Linked DNA regions of Elephas maximus indicus. The protein of the gene in region 2 interacts with the protein of the main gene of each other region in a pairwise test. Links are inferred from orthologs where the notes say so. Each region holds a gene or a part of one and is shown on either strand. Other genes may lie near its edges.

Region 1 (8,010 bases), on a different chromosome or scaffold from region 2:
GCCAGGCCAAGGGCCTGAGGTCTGAGCGCCAAAAGAGAAAGCCTATCCTGAGGGGGCCAAGAAAAGCTTGCCTTCAGGGGGCTGAGATGAGCCCGGCATGGCTGAGAGTAACTGAGAGAACTGTCTTGCCCTGAAGAAGGGAGAATTTGCCTACGTGCTCTCTGTTCTTGATCCTGAGTTGTAACCTGTTGATCCTGATTCCAAGTGGTAACCTGTTACTACCCTAATAAACACCATAAACAATTGTTATCTGTGAGTTCTGTGTGCCATTGCAACAAATTATTGAACCCAGCAAAGAAGTAGAGAGTTCTGTGGGAGGGATGGCTAATGTCAGAATTGGTAGAAGTTTGGAGAGTGGAGGCATGTTTGACTTCCATCTCATATTAATCAACCTTGGGCTGTTGAGCCTGATAATGATTCTCCTCCCCGCTCATGAAGTTAGAGGACCTCTGACTTCCACAAGCCCTTTTTACAATTAGAAAATCAATCAACGTAATACACCACAGCAGTAGAACAAAAGAGACACATAATCATCTCTATGAATGCAGAAAAGGCATTTGATAAAATCCAATGGGTATTCTTGATGAAAACCCTCAAGAAGATTCAAATAGAAGGGAAATTCCTCAATATGATTCAGGGCATATATGAATTCCAAGGGACAACATCATACTTAATGGAAAAGGACTGAGAGTTTTATCCTTGGAATCAGGAACAAAACAAGGTGCCTGCTCTCATCATTTCTATTCAATATTGTATTAGAAGTCTTAGCCAGAGCACACAGACACATAGACCAATGCAATAGAATTGAGAGTTCAGAAATAAACCCACACATCTATGGTCAACTGATTTTTGACAAGGGTGCTAAGTCCTTTCAACGGGGAAAGTAGAGTCTCTTCAATAAATGGTGCTGGGAAAACTGGGTTTCCACACGCAGAAAAAAGAAACAAGAACCATGCCTCACGCTGTACACAAAAATTCAAAATGGATTAAGGACCTAAATATGCAAAGTGAAACCTTAAAATCCTTAGGAAAAAAAGCAGGGGCAATGCTGTCAGGCCTAGCTTTTAACAATGGATTTTCTGATACAGTAACAAAAGCAAAAGACAAAATAAATAAATGGGACCTCAAAAATTAAAAACTTTTGTTCAGCAAAAGGCTTTACTAAAAAAGTGAAAAGATAAGCTACCAACTGGGAGAATATTTTTGGAAACCATATACCAACAAGAACCTAATAACCAAAAAATACATAAAACTTCGACAACAACAAAAACACAACTCAATCATAAAATGGGCAAAGGGCAAAGTGGGCAAAGGAGTTGAATAGACATCTCAGCAAATGGCCACCAAACACATGAAAAGATGCTCAACGTCATTAGCCATCAGACAGACGCAAATTAAAACCACAGTGAAGTACCATTTCACTTCCACTAGGGTGGCTAAGATAAAAATAAAAAACATAAAATAATAAATGTTGGTGAGGATGTGGGAGATTGGAATCATTGCTAGTGGGAATGCAAAATGATATAGCCACTGTAGAAAACAGACGGCTTCTCAAAAAACTAAAACTGGAACAACCGTAAAACGAACCAAACCTGTTGCCATCGAGTAGATTCGATTCGTAGTCAACCCTATGGGACAGAGTAGAACTGCCCCAGAGGGTTTCCAAGGAGCAGCTGATGGATTTGAACTGCCGACCTTTTGGTTAGCAGCTGTAGCTCTTAACCACTATGCCACCAGAGTTTCCAAACTACCGTATGACCCAGCAATTCCACTCTTAGCTATATACCCGAAAGATTTTAAAGCAGAGACTCTACAACAATGTTCATTGCAGCACTGTTCACAATAGCCAAAAAGTGGAAACAAAACAAAACAAAAGGTGGAAAATAGCCCCTGATGTCTTAAAACCAAACAATCGTTTAGCTTGACTAGTAAAGAATGTCTGCCTTGAGCATTATGCTCTTTTAAGATCTATGTAAAAAAAAAAAAATCTATGTACACGGGATCAAATTGACAACAGTAACTTGAAAAATTAAATGGGAATCTTGGGGAGCAATGACAGTACGTTAATGGGGGGAACAACACAGAAAAGGAGGTGAGAATAGCTGCACAACTTGAAGAATGTAATCAATGTCAATGAAACATGTCAAAATTACTTGAATTGGTGTATGTTTTTGATGTGTATGATCTCAACAACAAAGATAAAATAAAGTACTTAAAAAAACAAAAAACCCCTTTCCTCGCCAGAGTAGTCCGAGCTCCAAGCATTGCAGATAAGAGGGGTCTTGTGTCAGTCATTGCACCTGCTTAATGACTGGCACCTCACTCAGGGACAGTCTTTCACACCGGCAGTGTGTTCTCCTCCACCACGGGATTTTCCTTTCCTCTTTGGGCAGGTTCTTTGGGCAGGGTCACTATAGGACCACTGACTAGGCAGAGGCATAGACGGGAGGTGGCAAGAAGAGTGGGAGCCAGTGGCACAAATTTAGATCTGAGGCCTTTAAGCAAAATGCTCAGAAAGAATCATCCTATCCAGTGTTAAATACCAAATGAGTCAGTCTCTGGGCAGTTGCCACCCTCCCCCTCCAAAGTCCCTGGCAAAGCAGGAAGGCTGTCTCACTGACTCCTACGAGGACCTCGAACTCAGAGCCACCCTGTGGCCCGGTTCTAGTCCCCAGTCCCAGGGTGACTTCAATGCTTATCCACATTTTACTCATTACTTTTAGAGGAGGGGGTCAGGGATGGGGTTAGCGCTCCCTCCCTCCCCCAAGGGAATGGTGGTCCTCAGTCCTTTCTTTGGCCATTGCTTTTGGATTTAAGGAGATGCTCACCCTTAGACCTTGGAGACATGGATGCCCTTTCCTGCCCCACCCTCCCCCTATGCTTCCTCTCCACGCTCCTGGTACTTGCCCTCTAAGAAGAAGTACGTTGAGAGGACATTTCCAAAGGAAAACCAGGTCTGAGAAGAGAACACTGCCTACACAGCTCAATGCTTGTTAGCACAAAGCCACTTGCATATTCGTGTCAGTGTCATGTGGCTCAGCCCATACATTGGCAGGTGAGTTTGTGGTTCTAGCCAGGTGAGTCAGCAGAGATGGAACATTCATTTATTTGAGCAAACATTAAATGTTAGTTCTCCTGAAAAGAAGCCCAGCATGCAGCCATAGGTCCTGGGTGGAGGTGGAGGTGGGGGCTGAGGTGCTGCTAGAAGTTGGAAAGAAGGCAAGGCGAGAGGAAGAACTGATGGAAGGCAGGGAAGAGGGAGTATTCCCCAACTTTCAAGGTGGCAAGTGGGACCTCCTGCCCATGGAGACACTGGCTGAGGAAAGGGAGGCGGGCCTAGGCTGATGGAGGAGCAAAGCAGAGATGGGACACGAGGTCGATTCCAGAGGCTTGATTTTATTGTGCAGTTTTCTTTTTCCTCAATGAGATGCCATAAGCTGTGGTGGCACTACACACAGTCACAGGACAGGACAGGGCTGCTGGTGGGGAGCTGGGGGTTAGGAAAAGCCACCTCACCTCCCAAGGCGTGTCCCACCCATGGGTCTCACTCCATGGCCTGCCTCTGGCCCCCAGAGGTCCCTGAAAAGCCAGGCCTGTGGGGCAGGGGGCTGTCTGAGGGGCTCAGGCACCAGCTAGCAGGGGCTGGCACTGATGAGGGAGGGAGAAAAGAACCTCCTGAAGAAACACTTGGGCCAGACTCTGGGGGGCTCTGGGACTCCAGCCAGCCCGACTCCTTGGGTCCAGGTCAGAGTTCTGGATGCTCTTAGGGAGGGGCTTGTTTTCCTCTGCCACCTTCTCTACTGCTGGTCAGGACAGTAGGCTCACATTTCTGGCTTCCTTAGGTAGGGAGGGATGACATGCCCTCGCCTCTTACCCCTTCAGCCAGCCCCTCATCAGCATTGCTCCCATCGCGATCTGCTTTCTAACTGAACTATGCCCCTGGCCCCAGGCCTCTGGGGGATTTCTACGGGGTCTTAAAGAGGGGATTTTTTTTTTTTTGCTTTGGTTGAGGATGCTTTGGAAGATGCTCTGTTCTCTCACGTGATGGCCACAAATGCTTGGGGGGGTCCTTACCTCTGGGATCTTCAGGTGCCATCCCTGCCTGCTGAGGGATGGTCTCAGCATAGACCACACGGGTACCAGCCCCAGACACCCCATCCCCTCCTCACCCAGGTCTCTCCACGGCCTCTGGTCCCCACTGGGCAAGGATGGTCCCCCAGGGATTGGTTATTTTTCTATCCCCCCTGCCCCATCCTCTCACTCTCCATTAGTTCCCCAACCCTGGCTTCCCTTTTCACGAACTCCAGAAGAAAAGGAAGGATAAACTCTAAATAAACCAGACAGAAGCAGCTCTGGAACAAAGAGTACAAAAGACAGCCAGTGGTGTGCAGAGAGGGTGTGAGGGGCTGTGGGGGTCGGGTGGCAGTGGGAGTGGGTAAATAATGGCATGCAGCACTGGGGTTCCTTATGAGAGGTGGGGTCCCTATTCCTCCCCGAGGTGTGTGAGGGACTGGGAGGAGGGGGTCAGCCGACTCAGAGAACTTGGGTCTCTGGACCAGGTCTTGTGGCTTCCTGTATCCTCTGTGGGCACAACCCGTCACAGGGAGATGAAATCCATGGCCTGGAGGAGAGGCAGGGAGAGCAGGAGCAGCAGCAGCCATGAAGTATTCTGGACCAGCAGGCTTATGCCCTCACACTTGACCAGTTTGTCTGTGGAGAGAGAATTGGGTAGGAGACAGGACAGGAAAGAAGAGAGACCAGCATTTAGGTAGGGACAGGCACAAAGTAAGGTGCATTGCCTTGGTATCAAGATGATCATGGGACCAAGTATCAACAGGACCAATCATCCTTCCTTCGAACACACATCAACTTATAAATCCTTCCTAGACATGGTCACAAGAAGACTGTGGGGAAGTAGGTATTATGGTCCCTATTTCCCTGAAGGGGAGGAAGGGGATTGGGGAGGCTAAGTGACTTTCCTAGAGTCATGATGGAAGTGTCTACAACACCACTCTGTCTCTCTGACTGGCACCTTAGCTCCTCAGACCCCCATTCACGCTGAAGGCAGTGGTTCCCCAGGGGACCAGGCAGCAGTTGGAGGACGTCAGGGGAGTGGGACCCCTCTCCCTCTAGTCCAGCCAGGACTGCCTGCTGCCCTCACCAGTCTGCCCCTCCCTAGCCTGTCTCCTCCAGCTCAGTGGGTTTTGCTGGGTACTTGCCATACCTCTGAAGACTGAGATGTTCTTGTTGGAGATGCTGAGAGGCTGGCCAGAGAGGCGGAGCTCACATGTATAGGTGCCCTCATCCTTGTTGGTGAAGCCATTTAAGTAGAGGACCTTAATGTCATACTTGCTAGTGAGGTTGGTCCGGGTGCGATATGAGTGCTCAGGCACTCCCAAAGTGCCTTCGATCACGTGTTTCTTGGTCTCGCGGGTCACGCTGAACTCATACAGGATGGGCAAGGTGGTGGTGTTCTCATGGCGGCAGTCCAGGCGCAGGCTCTGGTTCACCAGGCAGGCTGTCAGGCTTGTCACCTTCTGCCCCCAGGCCACCTGAAAGACTGGCACCAGCAGTGCCCCCTCCGAGTTAGGAAGAGCCTGTGGAGCAGGGGGTCTCCTAACCACATTAAGAGCAGAGATGGGGCCTAGTCAGGGGGGTCACAGGGGTCTGCTCTCTGAGCCCTTCTCCCACCCCAGGGGTCCCCAAGGGTCAGTCCAACTTCCCCACTGAAGACCCTAGCCTCGCTCCCTAGCCTGCTTGAGTCCTGGGTCCCACTAGCATGTTCCAAGGGCAGGAAGTCTTGGGAGTAGATCCAGGTTCCTGGATCCCATTTGGAGATTCTAATTCAATGGCAGGAGCCCTGGTAGTGCTGTGGTTTAGAGCTCAGGCTGCTAACCAAAAGGTCGGCAGTTGGAATCCACCAGCTGCTCCTTGGAAACCTTGCGGGGCAGTTCTACTATGTTCTCTAGGGTTGCTATGAGTTGGAATAGACTCGTGGGCAATATGTATATATTTTTTAATCCAGTGGCTGGGGTGGGCCTGAGGGAGTTGTGTTTCCAAAAACCACCCAAGGCACTCAGATCAGCTAGGTTTGGGGAAATTGCTGACTTAAGGACGAAAAAGAGCCCTCTATACCTCAATCCCCTCCACTGTCTGTAAGGAAGAAGCTAGCTTCTCTGAGGAGGAGCAAGCCAGTGTGGCTGGACTCCCAGCCTTAGCCTTACACAGTACCTGTCAGCAGGAGAGCGATGCAGATGGCGGGGTTCATGGTGCCTGGAGCTCAGCCCTGGATCTGGGGTGGGGACAGGACGGGAATCAGCAAGAGATGGGGCAAGTGTCCCACATTTACTGCCAAGCCTGGGGCCCCTGGGGGATATGCCATAATGTCCATGGGTGGGGCATCCAAGCCCCCTCTACATCCCTCGTTGAATGTGACACTGTCACCGGATTGTGGGGAAACGGCAGGCAGATGGGGGAGGTGGAGAGGGAGAATACCTCCTATAAGGGCCTGTGTCTATACCTGGCCATGAGCCCCTACTAGCTGGGTGATTTAGAATAAGAAACTTTATCTTTACAACCCCCAACCCCCTTCAGAAATGTCCTACCTATGAGGGCAGGGACTTCTTAGTTCTTGTTCAGAAAAAAAAAAAAAAATCCCCAATGCCCAGAACAGTTCCTGGCATATAGTAGGTGCTCAAAAGATAATGAATGAATGGCTCTGAGCCTTAGGTACTCAAAGGGTTATGATCGGGATTAAGAAAGACGAGAAACATCTGGAACTATACCTGCTCCAAGGTAAGTGGCCCCACCAAGGTTAATTTCCTTCCTTCTAGAAGACAACATGGCTAGGGATGATGCCAGGTATGCGTGGGTTTAGGTGCTCCCAGATAATCCTGCACTTGGCACAGAGCTGGAGGTGTTCCTGGGTGTGTGTGAGGGAAGTGAGAGTGCTCTTGGACTGCATATGAACCAAGGATGCTTCCAAATACTCAGCTTTCTGGGATTCCTGGGGCTGCAGTTTTCCAGCCTCTCTTCAGTGGCCTCCCTGCCTAGGCGCTCTGTCTTGTCGTTTTTGCAGCCTAGGTTATACCAACATCCCAGCGAGGTGACACAGAGCAATAACCTAGCCGTCCGCATTGCTGCTCGCAGGGCAGAGGCCGCAGGAGGGGTGTGCGCCTGCGAGTACACGCAAGGCCCTGGCCTGGTGCTTGCGCCCGGGTGTGCACGTTGCGCCCTTGCCAAGACCAGGGCCCGGGGCCCTCAGGCCTGCGGTGCCCAAGGCTAAGGTCCCGCGACAGCTGCGGCTACCATCAAAACCCTCTCCGTCCCATCAGCGGAGCTGCTGCCGCTAGCAGATCCAGAAGCGCTTTCGGAAAGGGGGTCAGCATCTGGCTTTGATTCTCGGACACTGAGTCACTGAGGAGGGTGCGGGCTCGGGATTTAGGAGGGGAAGTGGGAGCGGAGGCCAGAGCAATAAAAGGGAAGAAATGGGATTGGAGGGGATTGTGGTGCCAAAGGGAGTGGGGAGAGCGGTTGACGGGCGCTGTCTGGGTTCATTTCCTCTGCCGTGTGTCTCCATCACGCAGACCAGAGAGGCTCTGCGCTCCCTCCCTCTCCAGCACCCGCTCGACTAGCCCCACCCGGATTCCACTTATATTCCAATTGAAGCCCCACTACCCCCTCTCAAGAAGCCCTGGTGGCGCAGTAGTTAAGCGCTTGGCTGCTAACCGAAAGATCGGCAGTTGCAAGCCATTAGCCGTTCCGTGGGAGAACGACGTGGCAGTCTGTTTCGGTAGAGATTTACAGCCTTGGAAACCCTATGGAGCAGTTCTACTCTGCCCCATAGGGTCGCTAAGAGTCCGAATCGACTCGACTGCAACCGGTATACCCCTCCCCGTCCTTTTCCAGCTCTCCCCTCCCCCGTCTGCCCGCCTTCCTGCCAGCCCCCGCCCGCGGCACTGCGGTTTCCCTTTCCTCGGTGCCCCGCACCCCACCTGCCGCGGGGTCGCG
Region 2 (7,579 bases):
AAAAGTGTTATGTACTTCATTTCCTAGTCTATACTAACGTAACGAGTTTTTAATTTAATAGAAAAATTATCTTTCATAAGACCTGATGCTCTGATCATGTAAACATAAAAGAGTACTACTGGGTCGCCACGAGTCAGAATCGACTCGACGGCCAAGAGTGTGGTTTTTTTTTTTTGAGTACTCAGCTTTCACTGCTGTGAGCTGTGCACAATGAAACGTGTCGCTTACGACTCTGGCAAGTGTTCTACACGGAATTACAAGTCCCTGATAAATTACTCTGTGCAGTGTTAAAAAATAAAAAACAAGAAACATTGTTTATACGAAAGTATAAAAAAAAGAAACATTATTTATATGAAAGTATACATGCCGTAAAATTCTTCAGCGTACCACCTTTCCAATACCATTTTTCTCTTCCCATATTTCTGAGCCCGGGTGACGCAACGGTTAAGCACTCGGCTGCTAACCACAAAGTTACTGTTTGAACCCACCCAGCAGCTCCACGGCAGAAAGACCTGGCAATCTGCTCCTACAAAGATCACAGCCTAGAAAACCCTATAGGGCAGCTCTACTCTGTCACATGGGGTCGCTGGGAGTCAAAATCGACTGGACTGCACCTAACAACAACTGTTTACTTAAACCATACCTTGGGCTTTTACCAGCCACACCTTGGGCTACAAACTGACAAATGAAAAGAAATAATGTTTTCCAAAACAAGAGCCCTGGTGGTGCAACGGTTAAGTGCTGGGTTACTAACGGAGAGGTTGGTGGTTCTAACTCACCCAGTAGTTCTGCGGGAGAAAAGACCTGGCCATCTGCTTTTGTAAAGATCACAGCCTAGAAAATCCTATGGGGCAGTTCTGCTCTGTCACATTGGGTCACCGTGAGCGAAAATAAACTTGACAGCACCCAACAACAACAACAATGCTATCCAATGGGTCTCAACCCTGGATGCATGGTAGAATCCCCATGGGAGCTTTTGACATTGCAGATGCCAAAGCACTACCCCAAACCAGGTAAAACGATATGGGGGCGGGGGATGGCAGGGCCTGGGGAGGAGGCACCTAGATATTGGTATATCTGACAGTTTCTACTTTTGGCTTCTTTTTACCTGAAAAAACAACCATAAATGTGAGCAGAGAGGTTTTATTGGGGGAGGGGGCAGGTCTTGAATAACTGGCAACTCCCAATTACTATGCTTTCATCAGATATTAAAATAAAAGGAACCCTGGTGGCAAAGCGGTTAAGCACTCGCCTGCTAACCAAAAGGGTCAGCAGTTTGAAGCCACCAGCCAGCATCTCTGCAGGAGAAAGACCTGGTAATTTGTTTCTATAAAGATAACCACTAGGAAACCTATGGGACAGTTCTACTCTGTCACATGGGCTTGCTATGAGTCGGAATCGACTCAACGGCACACAACCACGTCAAAATGAAATCATTCGATAATTTGAAACCCATAAACGATATCTGTAGAATTTTTTTTTCATTACTAGCAAATAATCTGCTTCCATAAAGGCAACAGCCAAGAAAACCCTATGGGGCAGTTCTACTCTGCCACATGGGGTCGCTATGAGTCCAAACGGACCCCAGAGCACCCACAGCAACATCAATAAGTAGTCAAAGATTCTCATCAAGTTTTGCAGTAGTCTTTACAAAACCTACTTTATTGTTTAATGCTTTGCAACTCTGTCTCTACCTAATGTTATAGAAAAAAGGGCTTCCTACTATCTTAAAAGGGTGGCTCGAGCTGGGTCCACGTTTGTCTTCAAGCAAAGTTTTGGTTTAAAGCCGAAATGACGGTTCTGACATCTTCGCTCCCTCTTCTTAGATCCTCTGGTAATCACTTTTCATAACTGAACCAAAGAGCAAATATTTTTTTAAAGCACTTATATAACAGAGAGTACAGGCGCCTTTGGGACCCTGCCAAGAGTACTTCTTCCCGTGTTTGTATTTAAAATAGAATGGTAGTAACATCACTTGTGTGCCTGAAATTCCTCTGTGCACAGGCTCAGAATGAAAAATGGATGTAGCAAACCGCTTCACTGCGTACCATTATAAAGCTCGAAGGAAGTAACACATTCATACTAAATTAAGACGAAGACACAGACCGAATTATCCAAAGCTGGAGGAGGGTGGGGGACACCTGATTTCACTCGGTTTAACCTACCATCCCCTCTAAAACGGGATAGTCTAACCCGGCAGCTCCCGAAGGTGCCAAATGAGCTGCAACACTTCAGCCCACGCAGGTGATGTGGGCAGGAAAGAATAACTGCTATGACGACAGAACAGCCGAAAAAAACGCTGCGCTTTCCGGAGCACCGGCTGCGACCATTCCCAATTCTGTCCCAGTCTCAGCACTGTCCCCTGAAGGCAGGCACCGGAGCCAAGACCGACCCCTGCAGACCGCAGAACAGAATGTGCTCACCTGGATCCGAAAGAGCCAAGAAAGATGTCCGAGGGGCCACTCCTGCCCTTAACTAGCCTCTCCTGGCGACCCGGCTCCGACGCGCGTCCTCCTCCTCCCCGGCTCCAGTTTGCTATTTACGGAGAGGATGGACTCTGCGGACCGGCCACGGATTGCAGCCAAAGGGGGTGGACAAACTTGCCAGGGAACCAGGAGAGGGGGCGCAGGTGGAGAAACCAGGGACGCCACCCCAGCTGGAGACAGCCCCTGACAACTGCCGCCCGCACCACCCACGCCCGCCGCGGCGCACGCAGCGCCGGGAGCGCCTGGGAACCCAGCGCCCCGCTGCGCCCCCGCACTCACCTCTGCGCGGGCACCGCCCAGGCCGCCGCCCCCGCCCCAGCGCAGGGGAGCCGGGGGATAACCAGGGGACCAGGGCAGGACGCCGGGCGCGCCCGGTTCGGCCGTCGCAGCCACCGCGCTTCGGCCGCCTCCCCGGACAAAGAGGAGCCGCGGGGCCGGCGGCGGAGCCCGAGCCTCGGAGCGCGCCGCGCAGCCGGCAACTCTCGCTCGCGCGGTGCGGCCCTCGGTGACAGCCCGCCGGCTGCGGAAGGGAGGGCGGGCGGCGCGGGCAGCAGAGGCGCGCACCCCCTCCTGGCCGGCCCGAGACGCGCACGCCGAGGCCCGGCGCCGCCAGCCGCCCGGCGCGCCCCTCCCTGCCCGCGCCCCGCGCACCCAGGCCGCCCAGCGCGAGCCACAGCGCCCTCTGCCGGCCCCTCGGAGCCTCCGCCCGCAGCTCCGCTCGCGTCCGCACCGTCCGGCGGCTCCTGGAGCCACCCAGCCGCGCCACCGCGGTCCCCTAGCGGCTAGGCGGCCCCAGGGGAGAGAAAGGAGAAGCAAGGCTGAGGAGAGGGGTGGCAAGGCAGAGGGCTTCGAGGAGGGCGATCTGCTGTTTTCCTCTTAGGACGAAGACCGAACAGGTTGGAATTGGGTGAAGCAAGAGGAATTTAGGCAAAGCGTTGGGAAGAGCTTGGAGGGCGGGGGGATCCCTCATTCACAACAAGGAGCCCAGATGCGGTCTCCGACAAACTGTTGGAGGAAAAGGCGGGCTTTTCTTTCTAGAATCAGGTTTATTTCTGTGTCTAATAAGCACCAAATGTGCCTAACACTCTTCAAGGAGCTCCAGCGATTTTTGACAGTTCTCAGGAATAAATGGCTTCATTAATGACTTCTTGCAGGGTCTTCTGGCCCTACCTGAAATGCTCTTGCTTCCCCTAAACAGTGCACCTAGACCAAAACCAAACCCGTTGCTCTCACGGCGATTCTGACTCATAGTGACCCCATGCGACAGGTTAGAACTGCCCCCTAGGTTTCCTAGGCTGTAATCTTTATGGGACCAAGTTGGCAGGTCTTTTCTCCACGGAGCTGGAGCTGTCAACTTTTAAGTTAGCAGCCCAGCGCTTACCCAGGGCTCCTTAAGCAGTGAACCTGGTGGGTATTAAGCAATACTTTATATCAGTTATATTTTTTAACAAGCTGATCTTAGTGAAAGGACAACGTGAAATAGCACCTTTTTTTTTCTCTCCCACAGCACTGTGTTTTACAATGTATTCTATCAGATCTTCCTTCTCTTCTGGAAGAATCTAGGGCAGATTTCATAGCTTTTCCTATCACTTTCAGGTGTTAATAAAACTCTGGTATTAAAAAGTCCAGTCCAATCCAAATCCAAATCAAAACTTTAATTTCATTCAATTTGCCCCTTCTTTATTCCCCTCCCATGCCCACCAGCTCCCAGCCTGACCCAAGCTCAGACGCCTGTAGTGGGGAAGGGGAAAGAAGCCTGTCTTTCCCTTCCTTGTTCTGCCTCCTCCCCACTGACTGGGTTAAGACTGAATCCTCCAGGATGGCAGGGGTGAGGGAAGCTCCCACTGAATCAGGCCGTGGTGCTGATCACTTGCAGCTTTCACTTCAGCATCTCCTTCAGGTGGTCCACCTCACATAGACCCTCGGTGGGTGTTGCCGTGCCCTGGCAGGCAAGCCTCTCGAGTGCAGTCCTTTTGAGATGGTTCAGATCCAGCTACCTTCCACCGTGTCCACTCTGTCCCATGGAAAGTACTTGGCATTGTTGCTCATCACACTAATACTGCAGGCCAGTGTCCCTGAGGCACACTCTGCTCAGGCTTTGGCCACAGGCAGCTCTGACCAGCCTCTCTCCTTGAAGCTTTTCATGCCGGAGTCAGACTCCCATCTCTGGGTTCACAAATGTCCCAAGCTGCAGGTGATACATTTTCTCCATGGTCCAGGTAGCTCTCCAGAAGCACACCCTTTTTTTGCATGAAGTGGGTAGATACTCCCTAAGTTGCATCACAACACCCTAGGCTCATTCCAAGGAAATTCTCAGAACCAACTTTCCCCCTTGATCACTCTCTTTTCTTTCAGTTTCGACTGAAGATGGCAGAACCCTTAGCAACTCCAATAAAGAGGTGCCCATTTGTTGTATTAATGTTTCTCTTATGAAGTTATTGTGAAGATTAAATGAATTCATATATCTAAGAATCAGTCCTGTCATGTAAGTTCACAAGAAATTGTTTTTGTTAGATGCCATCAATTCAGTTCCGACAATGAGTGGACTTTCTCACATGACCTTGCAACTTCCACCCAAGCGATTGGTCAGGACTGTGTGATAGGGTAACTGTGGCCCACCAAAGGGGTTGGCCAGTTTTGCCATTCTGCTGGGTTTGAAATGAGCCATCCCAGAGGCAGGACAGAAGAACTCACCACCACCAAGAAAGGAGAGACTCACGGGAGACAGCACAGTGGGCTTCTTAGCCCATGGAGAGTGAAAGCTGAGTGCCTTTGGGCAGAGCATGAGGGCCAGGGAGAGGTGTGCCTGTGAGCATGGCTGGGAAGAGGCTGTCCTGATGGGAGAACAGTATCATAGAGTGTTTCTGAACCTGAATTGCAACCTCTTACTTCCTTAATAAACCCCATAACTGTGAGAAAAAAAAAAAAAGAGGCACCAATTTGTTGTTCTTAGGTGCCATCTAGTTGATTCCTACTCCTAGCAACCTTACGCATAGCAGAACAAAACATTGCCCCATCCTACGCTATCCCCTCAATCGTTGCTGTGCTTGAGCCCATTGTTACAGCCACTCTGACTGTCCAACTAGTTGAGGGTCTTCCTCTTTTTCACTGGCTCTCTGCTTTACAGAACATGATGTCCTTCTCCAGAGATTACCCCTCCTGATAACATGAGCAAAGTAAATGAGACAAAGCTTTGCCATCCTTGCTTCTAAAGAGCATTCTGACTGTACTTCCTCCAAGACAGATTTGTTAGTTATTCTGGAAGTCCACAGTATTTTCAACGTTCTTTGCCAAAACAATAATTTAAATGCATCTTCTTTGGTCTTTCTCATTCATTGTCCAGCTTTTGCAGGCATATGAGGTGAATGAAAAAAACCATGGCTTGGGTCAGGCACACCTTAGTCATCAAAATGACATCTTTGCTTTTTAAGATTTTAAAGAGGTCTTTTGCGGCAGATTTGCTCAATGCAATATATCGTTTGATTTCTTGACGCCTGCTTCCATGGGTGTTCATTGTGGATCCAAGTAAAACGAAATGCTTGACAACATCAATATTTTCTCCTTTTATCATGATGTTGCTTATTGGTCCAGTTGTGAGGATTTTTGTTTCCTTCATGTTAAGATGTAGTAGCTACTGAAGGCTATAGTCTTTGACCTTCATCAGTAAGTACCCTTCACTTTCAGCAAGCAAGGTTGTGTCATCTGCAAATCACGGGTTGTTAATGAGTCTTCCTTCAATTCTGATGCCACGTTTTTCTTCATATAGTCCAGCTACTCAGATTATTTGCTCAACATACTGATAGAATAAATATGATGAAAGGCTACAACCCTGACCCACACCTTTCCTGATTTTAAACCATGCAGTATTCCCTTGTTCTGTTTGAACAACTGCCTCTTAGTCTATGTACAGGTTCCACATGAACACAATTAACTGTTCTAGAACTTCCATTCTTCCCAATGTTATCTATCATTTATTGTGATCCACACTGTCAATGCACAGTCAATGTAACACAGGTAAACATCTTTCTGGTATTCTCTGCTTTCAGCTAAGATCCACCTGACATCAGCAATGGTATCCCTCATTCCATGTCCTCTTCTAATCCAGTTTGAATTTCTGGCAGTTCCCTGTCAATGTGCTGCTGCAGCCATTTTTGAATGATCTTCAGCAAAATTTTACTTGCGTGTGATACTAATGATATTGTCTGATAACTTCCACATTCCACTGAATCACCTTTCTTTGGAGTGAGGACAAATATGGATCACTTCTAGTCAGTTGGCCAGGTAGCTGTCTTTCAGATTTCTTGGCATAGATGAGTGGGCACTTCCAGCATTGCATCCATTTGTTGACACATTTCATTTGGTATTCTGTCAATCCCTGCAGCCTTGTTTTTTGCCAATGCCTTCGGTGAAGCTTGGACTTCTTCTTGTAGTACCATTGGTTCTTGATCATATCCTGTCTCCTGAAATGGTTGGCTGTTGACCACTTTTTTTTGGTAAGTGGCTCTGTATTCCTTCAATCTTCCTTTGATGCTTCCTGAATCATTCAATTTTTTGCCCATAGAGTCCTTCAATATTGCAACTCAAAGCTTGAATTTTCCCTTTAGAGATCATCTCAGGAATAAATTTGATGCACTGAGCACTAATGACTGAAGACCAGGCAAGTTGTCAGATGACATCAAAGACATCATACATGAAGAAAGCAAAGGTCATTAAAAAGGCAGGAAAGAAAAAAAAGACCAAAATGGATGTCAGAAGAGACTCTGAAACTTGCTCATGAATGTAGAGTAACTAAAGTGGATAGAAGAAATGCCAAAGTAAAAGAGCTGAGCTGAAGATTTCAAAGGGCAGCGCAAGAAGACAAAGTATTATAATGAAATGTGCAAAGACCTGGAGTTAAAACTCTGAAAGGGAAGAACGTATTCGGCATTTCTCAAGCTGAAAGAACTGAAGAAAAAATTCAAGCCTCGATTGCAATATTGAGGGATTCTATGGCCCAATAGCTCTATCTAAAATGTGGATATACTTTTTGCCATGGTGGCCGTGAAGAGATGCCACTCAAACCTTTGAGCATAATTCACTGACAGCCCCCAGCT

The links. The genes of interacting proteins can lie anywhere in the genome.
Region 1: the proteins of MTUS2 (region 2) and USP2 interact in binary tests that used the Homo sapiens proteins (3 or more experiments, as listed by UniProt). The two-hybrid records come from large-scale screens. The link is inferred for Elephas maximus indicus from reciprocal best matches to the Homo sapiens genes MTUS2 and USP2.

The regions. Positions count from the first base shown.
Region 1 is NC_064835.1:11,873,607-11,881,616, forward strand, and holds the start of USP2 (ubiquitin carboxyl-terminal hydrolase 2), read right to left. Parts: upstream 3,012-8,010; 5' UTR 1-3,011. Other genes in the region: THY1 (thy-1 membrane glycoprotein), read right to left, coding at 4,598-4,710, 5,225-5,560, 6,232-6,268. UniProt on the Homo sapiens protein: Hydrolase that deubiquitinates polyubiquitinated target proteins such as MDM2, MDM4 and CCND1. Isoform 1 and isoform 4 possess both ubiquitin-specific peptidase and isopeptidase activities.
Region 2 is NC_064841.1:61,236,451-61,244,029, reverse strand, and holds the start of MTUS2 (microtubule-associated tumor suppressor candidate 2), read right to left. Parts: upstream 3,007-7,579; 5' UTR 2,766-3,006; intron 2,693-2,765; exon of another isoform or gene 2,424-2,692; intron 1-2,423. UniProt on the Homo sapiens protein: Binds microtubules. Together with MAPRE1 may target the microtubule depolymerase KIF2C to the plus-end of microtubules. May regulate the dynamics of microtubules at their growing distal tip.